5 linked regions of the Oryctolagus cuniculus genome follow. The protein of the gene in region 1 purifies or fractionates together with the protein of each later gene. This does not show direct contact. Links are inferred from orthologs where the notes say so. Each region holds a gene or a part of one and is shown in the gene's direction. Other genes may lie near its edges.

Evidence for each region. Proteins that work in one complex are often made in the same cells at the same time.
Region 2: the proteins of RRP1B (region 1) and NPM1 purify together in Homo sapiens (co-immunoprecipitation; 3 studies listed by BioGRID and IntAct, with this or other methods). This does not show direct contact. The link is inferred for Oryctolagus cuniculus from reciprocal best matches to the Homo sapiens genes RRP1B and NPM1.
Region 3: the proteins of RRP1B (region 1) and SRSF6 purify together in Homo sapiens (affinity purification with mass spectrometry; 3 studies listed by BioGRID and IntAct, with this or other methods). This does not show direct contact. The link is inferred for Oryctolagus cuniculus from reciprocal best matches to the Homo sapiens genes RRP1B and SRSF6.
Region 4: the proteins of RRP1B (region 1) and NCL purify together in Homo sapiens (affinity purification with mass spectrometry; 3 studies listed by BioGRID and IntAct, with this or other methods). This does not show direct contact. The link is inferred for Oryctolagus cuniculus from reciprocal best matches to the Homo sapiens genes RRP1B and NCL.
Region 5: the proteins of RRP1B (region 1) and DDX21 purify together in Homo sapiens (affinity purification with mass spectrometry; 3 studies listed by BioGRID and IntAct, with this or other methods). This does not show direct contact. The link is inferred for Oryctolagus cuniculus from reciprocal best matches to the Homo sapiens genes RRP1B and DDX21.

What each region holds. Positions count from the first base shown.
Region 1 is NC_091435.1:2,443,885-2,446,946, reverse strand, and holds the end of RRP1B (ribosomal RNA processing protein 1 homolog B), read left to right. Parts: coding exon 1-142; intron 143-1,088; coding exon 1,089-1,238; intron 1,239-1,902; coding exon 1,903-1,966; intron 1,967-2,302; coding exon 2,303-2,496; 3' UTR 2,497-2,562; downstream 2,563-3,062. UniProt on the Homo sapiens protein: Positively regulates DNA damage-induced apoptosis by acting as a transcriptional coactivator of proapoptotic target genes of the transcriptional activator E2F1.
Region 2 is NC_091437.1:58,113,512-58,117,806, forward strand, and holds the start of NPM1 (nucleophosmin), read left to right. Parts: upstream 1-1,486; 5' UTR 1,487-1,819; coding exon 1,820-1,877; intron 1,878-3,702; coding exon 3,703-3,782; intron 3,783-4,251; coding exon 4,252-4,295. UniProt on the Homo sapiens protein: Involved in diverse cellular processes such as ribosome biogenesis, centrosome duplication, protein chaperoning, histone assembly, cell proliferation, and regulation of tumor suppressors p53/TP53 and ARF.
Region 3 is NC_091442.1:15,437,474-15,441,489, reverse strand, and holds the start of SRSF6 (serine/arginine-rich splicing factor 6), read left to right. Parts: upstream 1-1,207; 5' UTR 1,208-1,379; coding exon 1,380-1,486; intron 1,487-1,714; coding exon 1,715-1,863; intron 1,864-3,094; coding exon 3,095-3,219; intron 3,220-3,357; coding exon 3,358-3,566; intron 3,567-3,758; coding exon 3,759-3,842; intron 3,843-3,947; coding exon 3,948-4,016. UniProt on the Homo sapiens protein: Plays a role in constitutive splicing and modulates the selection of alternative splice sites. Plays a role in the alternative splicing of MAPT/Tau exon 10. Binds to alternative exons of TNC pre-mRNA and promotes the expression of alternatively spliced TNC.
Region 4 is NC_091434.1:7,817,129-7,821,263, forward strand, and holds the start of NCL (nucleolin), read left to right. Parts: upstream 1-1,326; 5' UTR 1,327-1,537; coding exon 1,538-1,555; intron 1,556-2,474; coding exon 2,475-2,591; intron 2,592-3,584; coding exon 3,585-4,089; intron 4,090-4,135. UniProt on the Homo sapiens protein: Nucleolin is the major nucleolar protein of growing eukaryotic cells. It is found associated with intranucleolar chromatin and pre-ribosomal particles. It induces chromatin decondensation by binding to histone H1.
Region 5 is NC_091446.1:60,748,940-60,752,903, forward strand, and holds the start of DDX21 (nucleolar RNA helicase 2), read left to right. Parts: upstream 1-1,155; 5' UTR 1,156-1,702; coding exon 1,703-1,789; intron 1,790-3,551; coding exon 3,552-3,964.

The sequences.
Region 1 (3,062 bases):
GAAGTCGCAGAACAGGAAGTCTGGGCCGGGCAGCCTCGACGTGCAGGGCCTGGCCCGGCAGAAGAGCGCCATCTTGAAGAAGCGGAGGAAAAGGAGGATGTCGGACCTGCTGGGGCCCGAAGGCAGGCCGACCTCGGCTCTGGTAAGGTGGGGGGGTGGGCTGCAGCGTCGGCGGGGGAGGGGCTGGCCAGTCAGACACGGGGTTTGTCGCAGCCTTTCCCCGCCAGGAGGTGACGGGCGCAGGTCTCGTGGCCAAGCACTTCCACACTCGGGAAGGGGTCGCCGCTGAGCTGGGAAAAGCCCTGTGTGCAGGCTGACAGTGCCCCCGTCTCCTGCCGTCTCCTGCCGGTGCAGGAGGGAGCCCCGCCCCTTGTGCTGGGTTCTGCGGAGCCAGGCAGGGCCAGGCGCTGGCCGTGTCCTCCACACCATGGCCTGCAGGTGGCAGCGACCCCCAGCCACCGAGCCAGACCAGCTCCTCGGGACCCTCGTCCAGCGCCAATGCTCGCGCACGGCTCCGCGGTGGCCGTGACCGTGGGCCCAGCGCCGAGTGGGGAGTGGGTGACAGTGTGGTCCTTGGGACCTGGGGCGGGGAAGGCAGAGGAAGACGGGTACGCTGAGACCTTCCCTCCATCTACCTGCACGGGGCCTCCCGGGTGCTCCCGGCAGGAGCGTCCTGTCCCTGTGGCTGGTGGCAGCAGGGGTGGCACCGGGCCCCAGGGCTGCCCTTCCCCGGGCGCAGGCACACCAGGAACCTGCCGAAACCACCCACGCGGCGCTGGCTGCGCGGCCTCTTAGCGCCTCAGATCCAGAACCACTGCAGGTGCCCCACTGCCCAGCGGGGACTGGGGTGGGCAGGTGGGAAAACAGGAGAGTTGAGCGCACAGGCCTGCGCAGGGAGGAGGAGCGAGGGTCCCCGGACGAGGGTCGCCGGACGATTGACACCCTATGGGTGCAGCGTGAGTGGGGCTCTGACAGAGGGAGCCGGGGCCACTCCGCGCTGCCCGGGGCGCTGTCCCGGTTTCACTTCCTGTGCACAGCCTGGCAGGAGGCCCAGCGATGCCATCCCTGCCTGTGCCTCTCGCCCCTAGGGAGGCCGCGGGCCCCTCAGCCCCGTGAAGAAGCTGCTGAGGACCGAGAGCGACTTTGTGAAGTTCGACACGTCCCTCTCGCCAAAGCCCCTGTTCTTCAGGAAAGCAAAGAGCAGCCCCACGACCTGCCCGCCACGTCCTGCCGTCCAGGTACGGGCCCCGCGGCCGTCGGAGCCCTGCACTCAGGCCCCAGCTCCCGCCTGAGACAGGTGCCTGTTCTAGGGCCCGGTTGCTTCTGGAGTGGTCAGCCGCCTGGCGCCGTGGGGAGCCACCGTGTAGCCACTCACCCCGTCCTGCCTCAGCCCCAGGGCTCTCACTGGCAGGGCCTGCTCACTGCCGCGCATCTGCTGTCAGGGCACAGGTGGAGAACTGGGAGTGCGGCTGCACCAGAGGCCCAGGGTTCTCGGGGGCCGGGGTGCTGTGACGCCCAGGGGACCCACTTCTAGGCGCATCGCTGTCCAGGTAGCCCAGTCTTGCACGTGAACAGCAGGCAGTTTCGCACCTGTTGCCCCCTGAAGTTCAAGTCCACCAGGGGTGTGGTCTCGGCAGCGCCGTGCAGCCTGCAGCTTGGAGTGGGGACCCTGGTCATGGCTGGTGCCGAGCGTCTCCTGTCGGCCGGGCTGTCATCGACGTCCTGGCTGGGGTTTGCTTCCTTCAGAACACGCTGGGTGGCCTGCGCAGCCTGACAGACCCGAGCGCTGGGACGTGTAGTCGAGGCTGCACCCGTGTGCCGGGGGCCTCCCCGCTGGGCAGGGTCTCCAGCGAGAGCCGGCAGCCCGGTCAGTGTCGCCCCCTCGTGCTGTTTCTTCCCCAGCTGAACAGGACGCCGTCCAGCGCCAAGAGGGTCACCTTCGGGCTGAGCAGAAACACGACCGCAGGCAAGTCGGGGAGGCTGGGAGCCGGTGGGCATGGGGTCAGGAGCCGTCCCGGGGGCCCGTGGGCGTGGGCCTCCCGAGAGCCGGTTTCCCGGGCAGCTCCCCAGCTGCTTGGAGCTGGGCCCCCGAGAGGCCGTCGGGGCCCAGCAGTCCCCAGCCCGGCTGCCTCTGCTGAGGCTCGGGCCCCCGTGCGTGGTGTGCAGAGGAGAGGCCTGCCGGGCACTCCCGCCTCGTGCAGAACTGGGGACAGGCTCCGCCTCGGCCCTGGCCGGGGGGCTGGGGGCTGGGGGCTGCGGCCCGGGGTCGTCCCCTCACCTCGGGCCTTCCGTTCCCTTGCAGAGTTCAAGAAGACGGACAAGAGCATCTTAGTCAGTCCCACGGGCCCCTCCCGCGTGGCCTTCAACCCTGAGCAGAGACCCCTCCACGGAGTGCTGAAGACGCCCACGAGCTCGCCGGCCGGCACGCCCCTGGTGGCCAAGAAGCCGCTGGCTGCCACCCCAAAGAAGAGGCCGACGGCCATGGATTTCTTCTGAGGCGCGGGGGCCCCTTTTGGAAGACTGCTTTTGTACAGAGTATTCTATAAATTATAACTTTCTAAATGCCCGGCCTTTTCTATTAAAATTCCCGTGTGCGCGGGGTTCTGAATGTCGCCTGCTTCCCGCCAGGCTAGGGGAGCCCCCAGGGCTCTGGGCAGCTCTGAGCCGACGTTGGCGCGGGTGAGGATGGCCGGCGTCTCCCCACCAGGCAGCCGGGCACCGCGGCCCCCGCCCAGCCCCGCGTGTTCTTACGTGGAGCACACTCCTCACCCAGGCCAGTGCTTCCGGTCCTCTCTGTGCACGTGTGTGAGCCGAGGGCCCAGGTGGCTGCGTCCCCAGAAGCAGCGTCCCTGTCTCGGGGTGAGCCCCGCTGAGGGGCAGCGTCAGCGTCTGGACCCAGGCTCTCGGAAGCCAGGAAGTGGGCGCTGAAGCACCTGCCTGTGTCTGCGCACAGTTGCCCTGGCGAGCCACGGTTTTTATGTGGTCTTCAGGGTGTCCCCAGCAGCTGGGCGGGGACACAGGGCTGAGGGGGGTCCTCAGGGAGTCCAACAGGGCTGGGGCGG
Region 2 (4,295 bases), on another chromosome or scaffold:
AGAGGAGTAGGACCCACCCAAGCACACTATTGACCCATAGCAAGACTTTTGAAATGTAAATGTTGGTTTGTTTCCAAGGCCTGTATCCTTGTGCCATCACACAAATATTCCCACTTTCAAAAAATTCCCATTTTCTTTGACCACTGGCACACAGATAGGCTAATGTCTACCAAGCTACGTTAATAAAGTTGGAGGACACTGGATAAAATGTGATCTTACTTAAACAATAAAAGAAGTATTTCTGAGTGTATGTACATATATTCCTAAGTACCCATCCTTTTACTGTGGAAGTCCATTTCTTAGGCTATATTCTATTAAACTACTTTCAGATATCCATAAAAATATAGGTACAAAGATGTTTACCTAAATAATATTTTTAGTAAAATTAGGTAGAAAATATGCCTATCAATGGAGGAACAAATAAATTATAACATACCTACATTATACTACCATAGACAAACATCTATCCAAAACATTTTTTTAAAAGTTTACTTATTTACTTGAAAGTCAGAATTACAGAGAGGGAGAGGCAGAGAGAGAGAGAGAGAGAGAGAGAGAGAGAGGTCGTCCATCCGCTGGTTCACTCCCCAAATGGCTGCAATGGTCGGTGTGGACCAGGCAAAGCCAGGAGCCAGGAGCTTCTTCCCCGTCTCCCACGTGGGTGCGGGGGCCCAAGGACTTGGGACATTAGGCCATTACCAGGGAGCTGGATGAAGTGGAGCAGCCGGGACTCAAACCTCAAACCGGCGCCACCATCACAGTACTTCCTAATTCGATGTATTGAGGTAAAAAAAAAAAAAAAAAAAAAAAAAAAAAAAAAAATTCCTTAAGAAGCCCAGCGCTCAGGGTCTGTGAGGTCTTACGTGTTTGTCAAGTAGTTTAAAATGCTAATTCCCAGGCTGCCTTCCAAAGATTCGAATTAAGGTTCCTGCATTTAAATCGAGTCAAACGTTTCCTTTCGCCGGGAATGTTAAAGGTTAGGAAGTGCACATCCCCAGAGGCTGCACCGGCGGAGGCGGCTGACTCGGTCCCCGTGTGGCCCCAAGTTGCCATAAAAATGAGGACTTTGTTGATTTTTCCTCAGAAAGGGCGGATTTATAAGAACACAGAGTCCTGTAAGTCTGGCCAATAAAGAATAAAAACCGTCGTCCACTCGTTCTCCCGCTCTGGCACCTGAGACTAGCTGTGGGGAAGCCATTAGCTCCGAGCCCAGGCTTTCGGGCAGGTCAAAATCCCGCGCTGATTATGCCATCTTGGAGGCTTGCGGGAGACGAGGGGATGGAGGAAGGAGAATGGAGCTGCTTTCTGGCTTATTCCCGACTGCCTGAGCCTCCGCATCCAGCACAGCGAAGGCCTGCTGTCGCCATCTTGCAGGGTGGGCTGCGCAGGCTCTTGGCGCGAAGCCGACGCGCTGGAACCGGAGAGGACGTGGAACCGCCGGAGGTGGGGAGCGCGCGCCGCAAGGGGAAAGCGCGCCTGCGCATCGGCGACGGCGGCAGAGGGGTGGGGCAGGGTTTCGAGTGCGCGTGCCCGGTGTGAGCCCGCGAAGTACCTGGAAGAGGTGGGGGGAGAGGTAGAGAGGAGTGTGTTGAAGAGCGCTTGCGCAGCAGCGCGACCGTACTGCGAGAAGGGGCTGAAGAGCACGCGCGCGGAGGCGGGACTTGGAAAGCTATCGCGAGATTTCTGGTGGCTATATATACTAGCGGGGAGCCCGCGTCCTTTCCCTGGCGTGATTCCGTCCTGCGCGGCTGTTCTTTGCAGCAGTGGGCGTCTAATCTCCGTCCGCTTTCTCTCCTACCCAAGTTCGTCCCTCCGCCTCATGGAAGATTCGATGGACATGGACATGAGCCCCCTGAGGCCCCAGAACTATCTTTTCGGTAACTATTGTGGGGGTTGAAGCGAGGCCGAGCAGGGCCTGGTGGTGGCTTTAAGGGTTGGGGGGAGGGGGCGGCGGGAGTCTGACTGAGGCCCGGGCTGTTGGAAAAAGGCCGGCAGACTGGAGGCCGGAGAGAATAGGGAGCAGACCGCAGGCGTCCTGGTGCTGAGCGGGGTGGGAGCTGGGAGCAGAGAGTGAGCCGTGTGAAAGGGGTGGGGAGGAGCGGCGGCCCCCGGCCTGGGGCGTGAGCGGGCCATGGCCCAAGGCCGTCTGAAGGTTCGGCGTTGCCTGGGCTGCGAAGTAGGATTCCAGGCGTGATTTTTTGTCCCGTAGTGTGTAAGTCGGCTGGCTTGTTGCTAGGCCGTGTTACAGGAGGTTGGGGGGGGTGCATGGAGGGGCGTGGAAGTCCCTGCTGGAGGAGGAGGTGGGTGCAGCCTGGCGTCCTCATCCAGAGTTCCGGGCCCGGAGACAGCTCGGGTGCCTCAGCCAGTGAACCGGGGAGGGGATGTGCGGCGGGGCTTGAGGAGGCCGCGACCGCCCGAAGCACGTGGTTGCCACGTGGTTGGGGGAAGGGAGGGGGTGTGGGCTGTACATCCGGGGCTCTGGCATCTTGTCACCCACCCACCCCCCGCCCCAGCCAGGGGTCCTGTGGCTGCTTTGAGACTGTTGGGCGGGAAGTGATAGGTGTAGTGGCGGATTGAACTAGGATTCTGGAAGTCTTTGTCCAGCGTCTGCAGCATCAACTGTACCGTAACTGGCCTTTTTAGAGTCCTCTTTCTGCCTCAGCTGGTAGACGGACCTAAACCACAATACAGGTCTGATGCTCAGAGAAGTAATTAGGTTAAGGTTGCGCTTAAAAACCAGATTTAAACAAAATCCTTGATTGCAGAGCCAGCGCTTCATAAGTGAGGCTTATTTTTTTTCCAGGAAGGGTGTAGCGGAGGTAGTCCAGCATGGATTTTGTTATGTTCACCAACGTTCTCGGGTTGTAACCAGAGATTGGGAACCACAGCGCCCCCGTCCCCCGCGAACTCACACTACTATGTATGCATAGTTTTAAGGAATTACAGTAGAACTTAATTCTGGGAACCCTTTGTTGGTTAGACATGGAAATAGATGCTAATCCTACCCCTAGTTTACAAACCATGTTGAGGTTTGTTAGCACTAGCATGCTTAAGTATCTATTGTGAATGGGAGTGAAGTGTAACCACGTAAATTTTTATTCTGGCAATAATTAAAACAGTTTCCCGATGGAGTGGGAGTAGATAATGTGCACGGTAGTGCACTTTAGGACTTAATTCTTAGCCATTTTTAGAGGTTTCTGGTGATTTTATAAACAATAATTCTTTTTTTTGGCCCTTTATATTGGAAGTGTCCTTGATTGTGTCTGTTGCCTCTATTTCTAATGTGCATCACTTTGGAATATTGACCCTTACAAGTTGATTCTTTTATGTTGGTACTTTTCTCTGTAGATGAAAGCTGTTCATCTGAGAAACCATTCTCATTGCTAATTTTCCACTATTGGGAGTTTAGATAGATAATTCCAGTTTTTTAAATGGTTGGGAATTAACTATTATATATTAGGCTTCATTATTGATATGTCTGCAGAAGTAGTAGTGCTTGTCTCAGTGTATTGAAAAATACTGTAATGAAAATGCAACTAATACAGACTTGTAAGGACCTTAAATGATTTTTAAAAATGAGTGTTGAGGAAACCAGAAAGAGACCATTCTTCCTACTCTGTGGTAGCTAAAGTAGAGGAAAACTACTTAAAAGGTTAGCTTTGTTAATTTTCTGCTTGTTAGAATTGCTTTTTTCTTTTACAGGTTGTGAACTAAAGGCTGACAAAGATTATCACTTTAAAGTGGACAATGATGAAAATGAGCACCAGTTATCTTTAAGAACGGTACTTAAGCTTTTAAAATAAACATTTCTTGATTTCAGCAATTTAATTGTCCCCTATTTCTCTGCTTATAAGAGTTTTTATGATTGGATATTGTATATACCTCATCAATAAACTTGATTAAAAAGCTGGGCATGTTCACTGCTACCTGGTAATCTGGTAAAGTCAAGTCACCGTTTTATTATCTTGCTTCATTTGAATCATGAAAGATCTCTAGGGTGTCTGCCAGACGAACCTACTCAGCTTTGTAGTGGGTGTTTAATAGGTGTTCTGTATAATATGTGTGCATTTTTAAGTATTTCTTCAAGTTTACTGAACATGAGAAATTGGTTTGCCAATCTTACTAAACTTGAAGGTAGTGTTGGCACAAGTTGGAAATAATGATAAAAGTCATATTTGGTATTTTTAAACACAGATTTCCGAGGCAGGATTGTAAAACAGTTGGAAATTAAAGTTTACAAACTGTTCACAGGTCAGTTTAGGCGCTGGTGCCAAGGATGAACTGCACATTGTTGA
Region 3 (4,016 bases), on another chromosome or scaffold:
CTCACTGTCTGTAACTCTACCTCTCAAATAAATAAATAAAATCTTTAAAAAAAAAAGATAAACGTCGGGGCCACAACTATGCCCTAGCCAGTTAAGCTGTTGCCTGTTGCACCACATCAGTACAGGCACCGGTTCCAGTCCCAATTGCTCCACATCTGATCCAGCTTCCTGCTAATGTGCCTGGAAAAGCAGCGAAAGTCCTTGGGCCCCTGCATCGACAAGGGAGACCAAGCCACATGTGGAAGACTGGGAAGAAGCTCCTGGCTTCTGGCTTCGGATCGGCGCAGTTCGGTCCGTTGTGGCCAATTGGGGAGTGAACCAGCGGATGGAAGACCTCTCTCTCTGTCTCTACCTCTTCTCTCTGTGTAACTCTGACTTTCAAATAAATAAATAAAATATTTTTTTAAAAAAAAAGTACTTTAAAAAATGTCATTTCAGTTCTCGCCTCGTTCTCCAGCACTAAATGCCATCTCTATTGATAAACTCACAAATGCATATTCCCGCGCTTTCCAACCCTGGGAGTAGAGACTAGCATTTAGGACACGCTCTCCGCCGTGGGAGGGCTTGCTCAGCCTTCTCGGGCACCCGCAGCGAGCGTGGGATTCCCACGCACAGCCCAACCTTCGGGCGACTCAAGAGGCCGGCGCTTCATGAGGGGGAGGGGAACGGCTGAAGGGGGCGGAGGAGCCCCCGAGGGGCAGCGGCCCCCACGGCTGGGCGCCCACAGCGCGACCTTGGCAGAGTCACCGCGACCCCCTCGCGCGCCCCGCGGGTTCTGCTACACAGGCTGCTCAACCGCGTTCCCCACCAAAGTGAGCGCGAACCAATAGGCGGCGGGAACCCGCAGCCTCGTTTGGAGGACCCAATCAAAAACCAAGGGTCTTATTATGACAACCTTGAGAACCAATGAAAACCGGGGAATTTTTTTTTAGCGTCCCGCCCAAGCACCAGCCCCCAGGCGATCGCCCTATGGAAGTTTTTTAAAGGTGTAAGTCCGAAGACAAGTCCGCGGCTGAACCACGGGACACTGTATTCACAAAACTTTGTAGGGAGACTTGAGAAAATCAAGGTCGCGAACAAGCTAACACTTTTTACCGCAATCTCACGGGCTGCGGAGTCCACCGGCACCCTCCAGCCCCGCGCTCGCAGCGGGAAGGCAGCGTGTTGCGCGCTGACGTCACGCGCCGGGCCACGCCCCCTCCGGCCGCCCATATAGCGTAGCCCTGGCGCGCGCGCGCACCATTGTGTGGCTGGACTCGGCCGCCGCTGCGGTGTGAGGCGCGTGTTCGGGCTTTCGCCGTCCCCGCACCCGCACCGCGGCTACCGCCTTGCGGCCAGCCGTTCGACAGCCAGCCTCCGGGACCACGCCCGCCACGGACATGCCGCGCGTCTACATAGGACGCCTGAGCTACAACGTCCGGGAGAAGGACATACAGCGCTTTTTCAGTGGCTATGGCCGACTCCTCGAAGTAGACCTAAAAAACGGGTGAGTCGGGTCTGGGCGCCCGCGTCCGCGCCCAGCGCCCCGGGCCTGGCGGCGGCGGCGGGGGCCGTCCGGCAACGCAGGCCGCTGAGGCCGCGGCGCCGCGTGGCAGGGCCTCCCAAGATGGCGGCGGCGCGGCGCCGCGGGCGCGCGCGGGCGGCCGCGGGGGCGCGTACGTGCGCGCCCCCGGCTAACGACGCCCCCGCCGGCCCGGCCCTCGGCCGCCCCCAGGTACGGCTTCGTGGAGTTCGAGGACTCCCGCGACGCCGACGACGCCGTTTACGAGCTGAACGGCAAGGAGCTCTGCGGCGAGCGCGTGATCGTGGAGCACGCCCGGGGCCCGCGCCGCGATCGCGACGGCTACAGCTACGGAAGCCGCAGTGAGTCGCATCCCCGCGCGCTCCGCGTCCTTGGGACCCCGGGGGCGGACGCGGGCACCGGGGTGGAGGGCGGGGCTTCCCAGCCCGGGCAGGCGCGGGGGCCGGGGGTCGTTTGGTCCCGGCGCGCCCGGGCCCCGCCGCTGCCCCGCCTGCCCGGGGAAGCCGGGGGACACCGGAGCGCGGGGATTGGGTCCGGGTGTTTGCCTTGGGGCTTGGTGCGGGCCGCGGTGGGAGGGGGTGGCGTGTGCGGAGCCCCGTTGGCACTGACGTGGGTGCTGCCCACGGAGGGAGCGAGGGGCGGCCGTACTGACCGAATCCCCCGGCTCACCTGTCAGTGCCTTAGCTAGAAGTGGGGGAGTTGGGGTGGGGGCGGGGGCGGGGAAAGGGGCGGAGCCTGTAGTTAGGAGTTAGGAAAATTGGTGGGGGCAAAGAAAATGCGATTCTAACGTGGTACTTTACCACAAACTAAATCTAAAGAAGCTTTATGCTGCATTTGAACTGCCGGGGCATGTTATTGGGAGGACGGGTGGGGGTGGTTATTTTAAATGTTTGATGTTGAAATTGTTGCATGTTGAATTCAAACTTTTTAACAAGTCCTTGATGTTTCAATTTGAAAGTGACCAATGGGGCTGAGGCTGTGTCCACTGAGGCTAAGATGACTGCCTTTCCTGATTGGCCTTGGCTTTTCCATACATTGTGTGACCCTTGCCCTATGACCCTTTGGCTGACCTTACCGGAAGCCATGACGACAGCAGCCTTTTGCCATTAGACGCAGGGTGATGGTGAGGATTCCAAGGGTTAGACAAAACTGGTTAATCTGAACTAGGTGACTGTTACCTTGCGTGTTTTGTGGCCAAACCACCACCAAAAACCTCACACTGTGATGTAAGTACTTAGTGTAACTAGTAAACATTTTTGTAAAATGTAGAAATGCATGTAATCAGTTAAGTTTTATATTTTACAATGTTCTGTAAAATAAAACTTAGCGAGGTAAATTGAATAAAGGAGCAGTCACTCTCTAACAGATTGTAGGAGAGGTTTAGTCGGATTTAGTCTATTTGACTTGCCCTTAATTTAATTTATGGCAAATCACAAATGTATCAAAGGTTTAGCAGTGTAATAGCAAAGTCCTACTCCAGTATATGAAAGTTGATATGTTTGTACTAACTTTCAAAAACGTTATCCATCCTTACCATTGCAAGCACCTGATTGTTCCCTTCGTGTGATAAAGGTGGTGGTGGTGGATACAGCAGTCGGAGAACCTCTGGCAGAGACAAATATGGACCACCTGTTCGTACAGAGTACAGGCTAATTGTAGAAAATCTTTCTAGTCGGTGCAGTTGGCAAGATTTAAAGGTAAGTGCTACAATGAAAGGGGTTAAGATTCATGCTGAAAGTAAACTCTTTTGCAATCTTTATTTTTTTAAGAACTCAGTATGGTATAGATACTTTCCCTCAGATTTCTGCACCTGAGCAGTCTTGTTGCTGTTTTAGGATTTCATGCGCCAAGCAGGTGAAGTAACCTATGCGGATGCTCACAAAGAACGCACAAATGAAGGTGTAATTGAATTTCGCTCCTACTCGGACATGAAGCGTGCTTTGGATAAACTGGATGGTACAGAAATAAATGGCAGAAATATTAGGCTTATTGAAGATAAGCCACGAACAAGCCATAGGCGATCTTACTCTGGAAGCAGATCTAGGTAACTTGTTTGAAGAACATGGAGAGCAGTAACTGGTACTTCTGGTTATGCATCTTGGGTTCTTTGCCATATGCTTTGTTAGTGCATTTAATTTTGTGGTAAGCAAATGCGTTCTGTGTGTGTGTGTGGCTGATCTGTTGATAAGGCACAAACATTGTTGAGGTTAAGGGCTCCTTGTGGGTTCTGTTACAGGTCACGTTCTAGAAGAAGGTCACGAAGTAGGAGTCGCAGGAGCAGCCGCAGTAGATCTGGAAGTATTTCTAAAAGTCGCTCCCGGTAAATATTGTGTTGTCCTTTTTTTCTGGCTGCTGCTGTGCTTGTTCGTGGGGTGCGTGTGTGTGCTGCAAGGCATTAAAAGAAATTGGGCTTTTCTGTGTCCAGATCCAGGTCGCGGAGCAAAGGTCGATCGCGTTCTCGATCAAAAGGCAGGAAATCTAGATCGAAGAGCAA
Region 4 (4,135 bases), on another chromosome or scaffold:
TGAGCGCCCCAGTGAGTGGCCTGGGCTTCCTATCGCCGCAGGTGTGCTAGCAAGAACTAAAATAACTCGGCCGCCCCGAAGAATGCTCCTAGGCCTTTAGTGCAAAATCCCAGGTGGGCAGCTGGGGCGCCGCAGGCTGAGCTGCCGCGTGGGCCGGACCGAGTGCCTAGGATGTGGCACCACCTCCACTTCCGACCACATGGGAGACAGCAAGGGACGCTGGAGTCCCGGGGTCCCTGGCCCTCAGCTCCCGGGGAGGCCTGCATGGAGCCCCTGGCTTCGATCCGGCCCAGCCCTGGCTGTTTTGGGCATCTGGGCAGGTCTGCCACTCTGCCTCTCCAACAGAAACAGAGCGACCCCGGGCCCCCCCAGACCTCCTCAACTTTGAACCTTCAGAGGCGACTTTTATCAAAGGTTCTGCTGGGGCAGCTGGTTACCAGAAGCCTGGGGGGCATCCGAGGCCGGCTCCGGTTGGTTCGCTAAGCCTGGCGCCCATCTGAGCCGCCGCAGGAGCACACAACGCCAAGCCCACCTTCCGAGCCCCCGCCCGGGGCGCCGGGTCCACTGCTGGGCCACGTGTGCCGCTGCCCGCCCAGCCGCCACACTGACGGCAGAGGAAGCGCGGCGGGCGGCCCAGGTCCCGCTGCCCACCCCACCATGACCAAGCCCCTCGCGGGCGCGACCTCCAAGCTGCTGGACCGCGGGGACAAACACCTGCCGCGTGGTTACGGGGGACTAACCGAGCGCTTGTGCACGGCTCACAACTCTACCCGCAGCCCTCGGGAGGCACGTGGGCCGGAGGGCGCTCCAGCGGCCAGGGAGTCTGGGGCCCCTGGCTGGCCGGCGGGCCCCCGAAAGGGCCACTCGGAACTTGGCCGAACCTCAACTTCCGGCGCCCTCGGGCTGACCCGCAGGAAACCGCCGCGACCCCTCGCTCCAGAGCCGCAAGCAGGCTCAGCGAGGAGCGCGCACCGGCGCCCTCCCGCGCACACGTCTACCGGACCCGGCTACTTTCTGGAAACCGAGACCACCGCCCCGCGTTCGCTCAGTTCGCCGCGCCACTCGCTCGCTCGCCCCGCGCCAAAAGAGCCCGTCGCATGACGCATGCGCCGGGACGACCGGCCGCGGAGGAACACTCTGCGACCCGCGCACCCCCGGGCCAATCAGCGCCGGCCTTGCACAAAGCAAATCCCGCCTCCAGGACGCGGCCGCCAGACCCCCTTCCCCTCCTTGGCCGCCTGGGCCCGCCCACTCCGGCCCAATCCCCGCCCCACGCCGCGCACAGTTAGCGGCTTGCGATTGGCTCGCGCGACGGACGCGAGCTCTGATTGGTAGAGGAGGAGTCACGAGGGCGCCGTCGTCGCCTTTCCAGAGGCGATTACTGGGCAGGCTCAGTCTTTCGCCTCAGTCTCTAGCTCTCGCTGGCAGCCCGGCGTACGTGCTCCGGCATCTTCAGTCACCCGCGGCCGCCATCGACGCCGCTCGGGTTCCTCTAGGCTCGTCTGCGCCACAGCCGCCGCCGTCGTAAGCCGCCATCATGGTGAAGCTGGCCAAGGTAAGCGCTGAGGGCGCGCGAGCGCGAGCGCCGAGGCCTGCTGCTCAGGAGCGCGCGCGGCGTCGCGGGGAGGAGGGCCTGCGCGCCGTCCCGGGCGCGTTCGAGGGCGCCATGCTGTGGGAAGTCTCGCGCGACTGGCGGGCAGTTCTCGCGTGTCTTGGCTGCTTGGCGGCGAGGTGCGGCGCGCTCCGGCAGGTGCTGAGGGCGGCGTGGAAGGCTGCGGCGCGGGGCGCGGGGCGGCGGGAGGAAGTGAGATCCAACTCGTGCGCCGCGCGCGGGCCGGGCCCCGCCTCCGGCCGCACGTGCGCCGGCTCGCGGCCCGCCACGTGGGCCCCGCCGCGTGGGCCGCGGGGTGGCCGGGGCCCGCCGGCGCGAACCCGCGGCCCTGGCCCAGCTGCCCGGGGCCCCCCGGCCGCCGCCACGTGCGCCGGCCCCGGAAGGAGGCGCCGGGGTGCGTGCACATGGTGGCCGCCGGGCACCCCCACGTGGCCGCGGCCAGGTGAGAGGGGCAGGCCGGTTGGGGTCCGAGGTGGCTTTGTTACTTTTATGCTTTTGCGACGCTGGTGCTGCCCGGAGTTCCGACGAGGGCGCTGGTGGTGTGCGTCGGAGGCTGGGGGGGGTCCTCCCTGGAAGAGTGGCCGCTGGCTACTAAGAAGGGTGCCTGGTGCTAGGGTTGAACCCAGGGGTGAATTAAGTGGTTGAGGGTAAAAAAAGGCAGATGGGTTATTTCATCACCTTGGACTTGTTTTTTAGGTTTTGTCAAGATTGACAGGGAAACTCTGATGGGCCGTACTGTTGGTCAGTTTCAGGATCGGTTATGTTTAATGCTGAAAGTGCGTTGAGGAGGGTGATGGTTGTATTTTATTGTGGGCCGTGGAATCGATGAGGGGTGTTCATGTCCTCATTGTGTGCGTTTTAGGCTGGTAAAAACCAAGGTGAGCCCAAGAAAATGGCTCCTCCTCCCAAGGAGGTAGAAGAAGATAGTGAAGACGAGGAGATGTCGGAAGATGACGAGGATGACAGCAGTGGAGAAGAGGTAACTGGGTCGCGATCGAGGAGAAATTGGGTTGCACTTACACAGTGGACAGAATGGTGTTGGGTGTCTGAAAAGGATATGAAAAGTAGTGTGTTATTCACGTGACCCGGGGTGGGGGGTGCTTAGATGGCAGGAGACCGTTGGGTGAGTACCTGAGTGTGAGCATCTGGGATCTGTGCCCTCTGCACGGCTGGAGTGAGGTTGATACACTTCTCCTGCTCAGCATAAAGGACCAGGTGGATTCTGTCCCCCCCCTGTATGTAAGGTTTGTAGCGATTGGGTGGGTTGAAGGTGCCACCTGAGCATTCACGTTCATTGCTTGCATGGAAAGTCGGTTTTTTAGAATTCAGCAAAGACTTTACTCTTAAGTGAACTATCTGATAAACTAGGAAGTTAATGAAAATAGCTTTGAATAGGAGTTAAAATGTAGGTAAATAATGGTTCTTACAGATACAGTGTTTATTTGATGTGCTGTAATTTGTAAGGGTTGCTCAGCCAATTTAAGGCTGATTTTTATCTCAGGTCCTGTCTCAGGACAAGAATCCTGTACCACTACCCACTGTATGATCCCCAGATGATTTTTAATATTCAGATTTATTTATTTGCAAAGAGAGTTATAGAGAGGCAGAGTTCTCCCATCCACTGGTTCACTCCCCAAGTGGCTGCAACGTCCAGAGCTGGACCTATCCGAAGCCAGGATCTTCTGGGTCTTCACGTGGGTGCAGGGGCCCAAGCGCCTGGGCCATCTTCTGCTTTCCAGGCCACAGCGGAGAGCAGGATGGAAGTAGAGCAGCTGGGGCTTGAATTGGCTCCCATATGGGCTGCCGGCAGCAGTTTTATGTGCTACGCCACAGCACTTTACTTACTGTTGAACCTAACATGTTAACATGGAACATATGCAGTCTTGAACCAGAGGCAGTGCCAGAATCCACCACTGGGACCAGGGCTGCCTTTCGGATGTAGCAGAACTAACTGTTGGTGTTTGCTGTTTAGATAGTCATCCCACAGAAGAAAGGCAAGAAAGCTGCTGCGGCTCCAGCCAAGAAGGCGGTGGCTTCCCCGACAAAAAAGCCTGCGGCTGCCACTCCTGCCAAGAAAGCAGTTGTCACTCCAGGTAAAAAGGGAGCCGCCACCACGCCAGCGAAGAAGGCCGCTACCCCAGCCAAAGCGGTGGTGGCGTCGGGCAAGAAGGGGGCCGCGCTGGGCAAAGCAGTGGTAGCGGCCTCGGGAAAGAAGGGAGCGGTCCTCCCCGCCAAGGGGGCCAAGAATGGTAAGAACGCCAAGAAGGAAGACAGCGACGACGAGGAGGAGGAGGAGGACAGCGAGGAGGACGACGACGACGAGGATGAAGATGACGAGGAGGACGAGGAGGATGAGTTTGAGCCGGCGGTCATGAAGGCAGCAGCGGTGGCCCCCGCCTCCGAGGATGAGGACGAGGAGGACGAGGATGAAGACGACGATGAGGACGAGGACGACGACGAGGAGGACGAGGAAGACGGTAAGGAAGTCATGGTGGCTCCTGGCTCTGGGAGGTTTCCACGTAG
Region 5 (3,964 bases), on another chromosome or scaffold:
AAGTGATGAAAAATGTGCAGGAAAAACTAATCTCATGAAATACAGAAATAAAACTTCCAGCGTTTATTTGAAAGATTTACAGAGAAGGGGAGACAGAGATCCTCCATCAGCTGGTTTACTCCCCAAATGGCCACAACAGCCAACGCCGGGAGCCAGGAGCTTCTTGTGGGTCTCCCATGTGGGTGGCAGGGGCCCAAGGACTTGGGCCATTCTCTTTTGCTTTCCTAGGCCATTATCAGGGAGCTAGATCAGAAGTGGAGCAGGTGGGACTCCAACAGGCACGCATATGAGATGCCAGCCTCAGGGGCAATGGGCTTTTCCCACCATGCCACGATGCTGGCCTGACCTATGAGTTTGAAGAGCTCTCATTTATTGTACTCAATGTGCCAGGCCCTGCCAAACCATTCACTGTCTAATTTTCTCAGTTTATTTTGTTAACGGTTTTGGTACCCCGTTTCATACATGGAAACTCAAAATAGTGGCCAAGGCAGGTCTTCATAGATAGGATTCCAACCCATTTTGTAAAATAAATTGTTTCCCAGTGCATTGGACCACTGGTTCTGTAGGAAAAGCTTAACAACAGTGTCATTGATCATTTAATTGGCCATTTTCCCCTCAACTTCCTGAAGTACTATGGTGTCCAAACCACTCACGATGAAGAGCCCCTGTCAACTTCCATCAGAGATGTACATGGCTTGGGTGCCAAGGTCGGTTTAGGTACCTCTTTGTGCCTTCAAAACAACTGAGGCCTCTCTCTCCCACCAAGCTTCTGGAAGATGAGACTTGTGGGCTGTCTGCATGCCGCTTTTCCCACCGACTTGGGGGAATGCTCTAGATGTTTGTTGCCGGCACACATGCATGAAAGACCCGACTGAACTCTGGCTCTTACCCAGGCTCGTGAGTTTGGCGTCAATTATAAAAGTTTCCACAAAATGATTAAGGACGCAAATCCCACGTGTTTGTAGTAAAAATACCTTGTAAGCTTGAGCAACCTGATAGAAGGCACTGAAGAGGGGACTGGCGCTGTGGCTCAGCGGGTTAATGCCCTGGCCTGAAGCACTGGCATCCCATATGGGTGCCGGTTCTAGTCCCGGTTGCTCCTCTTCCGATCCAGCTCTCTGCTATGGCCTGGGAAAGAGGTGGAGGATAATCTAGGTCCTTGGGCCCCTGCACCTGCGTGGGAGACCTGGAAGAAGCCCCTGGATCCTGGCTTCCGATCGGCACAGCTCCGGCCGTTGCAGACATCTGGGGAATGAACCAGCGGATGGAAGACCTCTCTCTCTCTCTCTCTCTCTCTCTGCCTCTTCTCTCTGTGTAACTCTGACTTTCAAATACATAAAAAAGTAGGCAATGAAGAAGCGCCACTCAAAAGCAATCAGTCACAAGTCATCCATTATCAGGTGTGGCTGGCGAGAATCCGGCCAGTGTTTCAGAATGCAATGCTAACCTTAGTGGTTCTCCAGTTCTATCCTTTTGTAGGTGCCGTCTGGGCAAGCGCCGAAAGCGGTCGCTTCGCTAAGCCCTGCCACTTTCAGGCCAGGAACTACCCCAGCACCCGCCTCCTTCCTTGCGCTTCCTGCTTCCGCCGGAAATGCTTTGCCGCAGGAAGTGACGCGAGTTGGGGGGGCCAAAGGGGAAGTACTATCTTTTCCTCTCCACGCGGTTGAGGGCACCGGACGGCCTGCGCGGCGGGTGCTGAGTGATGCCGGGCAAACTCCGTAGCGACGCCAGTTTGGAATCAGCCACGACCATGGGAAAAGTGGAGAAGACGCGAAAGCAAAATGAGAAGGTGATACCGAGGGGCCCGGGTGCTGGCGAGGGGCGGGAGTGCGAGCGCGTGGCGCGAGTCGAGATCCGGCAGAGCCGCGGAACGCGCGTTGGTCCCCGCCAGCGGCGCCCAGGAGGGGTGCTCCCCCCGGGTTGGGAGGCGCGTGGCCCGCGGGCCGGAGCCGGCTGTGCCGCGCGCCGGCCCCTTGCTCCCGTCTTTGACGCATCCGTGCGTCCCGGGGGCGCTGGCCGTGAGGCCGCCGCAGAGCTGGACGGGACCGGCGTCCCACGTGGCCCCGGGAACTGGGATCACAGGTTCCGGCTTGTCCTCTCACTGGACTCCGAAGTCCAGGTGGGGACCGTAGCAGTGGACCAGACTAGAGAGGTCTTGTGGCCATCTGCGCACGTGCGTGGTGTCTGCAGTGGGTGTTTTTTTTTTTTAAAGCCTTAGCTGGGGAAGTACAGTTTGCTTTCAGGTAAGCAGCGCTTAGAAGATGAGGTAATTAAAGCCTTCTAAATTTATTGGCCACATCTCCCATGGAAAAACAAACACATGGACTAGTGCTAATTGAATATCGCTTTTTTTGTCCTTGTTTTTGTTCTACATAGGGCAGCAGTGTGCATTAATTTTAAATTCCCCGGGTCGTCGTCGTCTGCTTCTTTGCTGTTATTGGAGGTCCTGGTTTAAGTTTCTGCATCAGTCAGTGTGTTCCTCTGTGGGATAGTCAGAGTAGGAGCAACCATCTGGACTTACAGATAGGAAATTACCTCTTAATTTTTGAAACTAAGGGATGAAAAACCGAAGTCCAGGGGGTCATGTGGTGGACGGGTTACCCCTCGTGCTTGCTTTGAGTCCACAGGTCGGATCGGAAGTTTTAGGGAGACACATTGGTTAGCGCAGTAGTCTCCATCCTGCTGGAATTGGCCGAGGTGCTGCTAGAGAGTTTGTAGGGTGGCTGCACCTGTCCAGTTGTTAAAAGTTTTCAGTAATGTGAAAAGATGGAGAGAATCAGAAATTTCAGGGAAGAGCTGTAGTCACCTGATTTGGTTTTTGAGATTTTATCTTTTCCGTGTACTTGTAACTTGCGCATTTATTTTGTTTTACATAAGGGGATGATGGGTTGTGAGTTTATGTGATTATGTTTGAAACAGTGTCTTTATGTAAGTTCATTTGCCATTGTGAGAGATACACAAGGTGCAAATGGTGTGAGTTCCTGTTTTGTCTGTACAAAAATTTTAACAGGAAGAAAGAAAATCTATTTAACACCCTCCATCTGTGTACATATATAGCATTATTGCTTTCAGAATTGGAACTGTACTTGATCACTTTTTTATAGTATTTAGTTTAGAGCCTGTTGGAGCATCCCTTGAGCCACTATGAGTCATTCCCTTAATCATATCTGGTTTTACAATTGTCAGACAAAGTTCGACCAATATGAACAGTTACTAAGAGACACCCTTGATCTCAAGCTAATGAAACTTGATAAACAAGGGGCTTCAAAAGTATATGGAAAATACAGGTAACAAAATAACTACAGGATTTCCAAATTTTTTGCACCAAAATATACTTTTTCATGAACTTTTTATCTCCATCTTAGCTAAGACACAGTACTAAAAAAGCATACTGTTTGATTTGTATCTGTCACAGATAAAGTACAACTGTTGAAATGCCCCTGAATTGTGTTATTTATCATTGAAAGCAATCCTGAAATAATCCATATTTGATGGACTGTGCAAACGTTTATCTGCATTGTTCAGTGTTTGCATTTTCATTATCTTTTTAGAAAGATAAAAAACAGAAGCCAAAATCTAATAAAATTGAAGAATCAGCAGAAGAAAAGGAAGAAATGGTTTCCCCTAAAGCTAAAAAAGCTAAGAAGAAAGAGCCATCTGAGGTTGACTTGAATCCTCCTAAGTCCAAAAAGGAGAAAAAACAAGAGGAACCATCTCAAGATGAAGTTGTTTCTCCTAAAGCCAAAAGTAAGAAAAAGGAGAACGTTGAAAAGAAAACTGCTTCTTCTAAAACCAAAAAAGTAATAAAAAGTGAAGAGCCGTCAGAAGAAATAGGCGCTCCTAAGCCCAAGAAGATGAAGAAAGAAAAGGAAGTGAATGGAGAAATTGGAGAGAAGAGTCCCAAGATGAAGAATGGCCTCCCGCACTCCGAACCTGACTCGAATGCCGATGGAGCTGCCAGTGA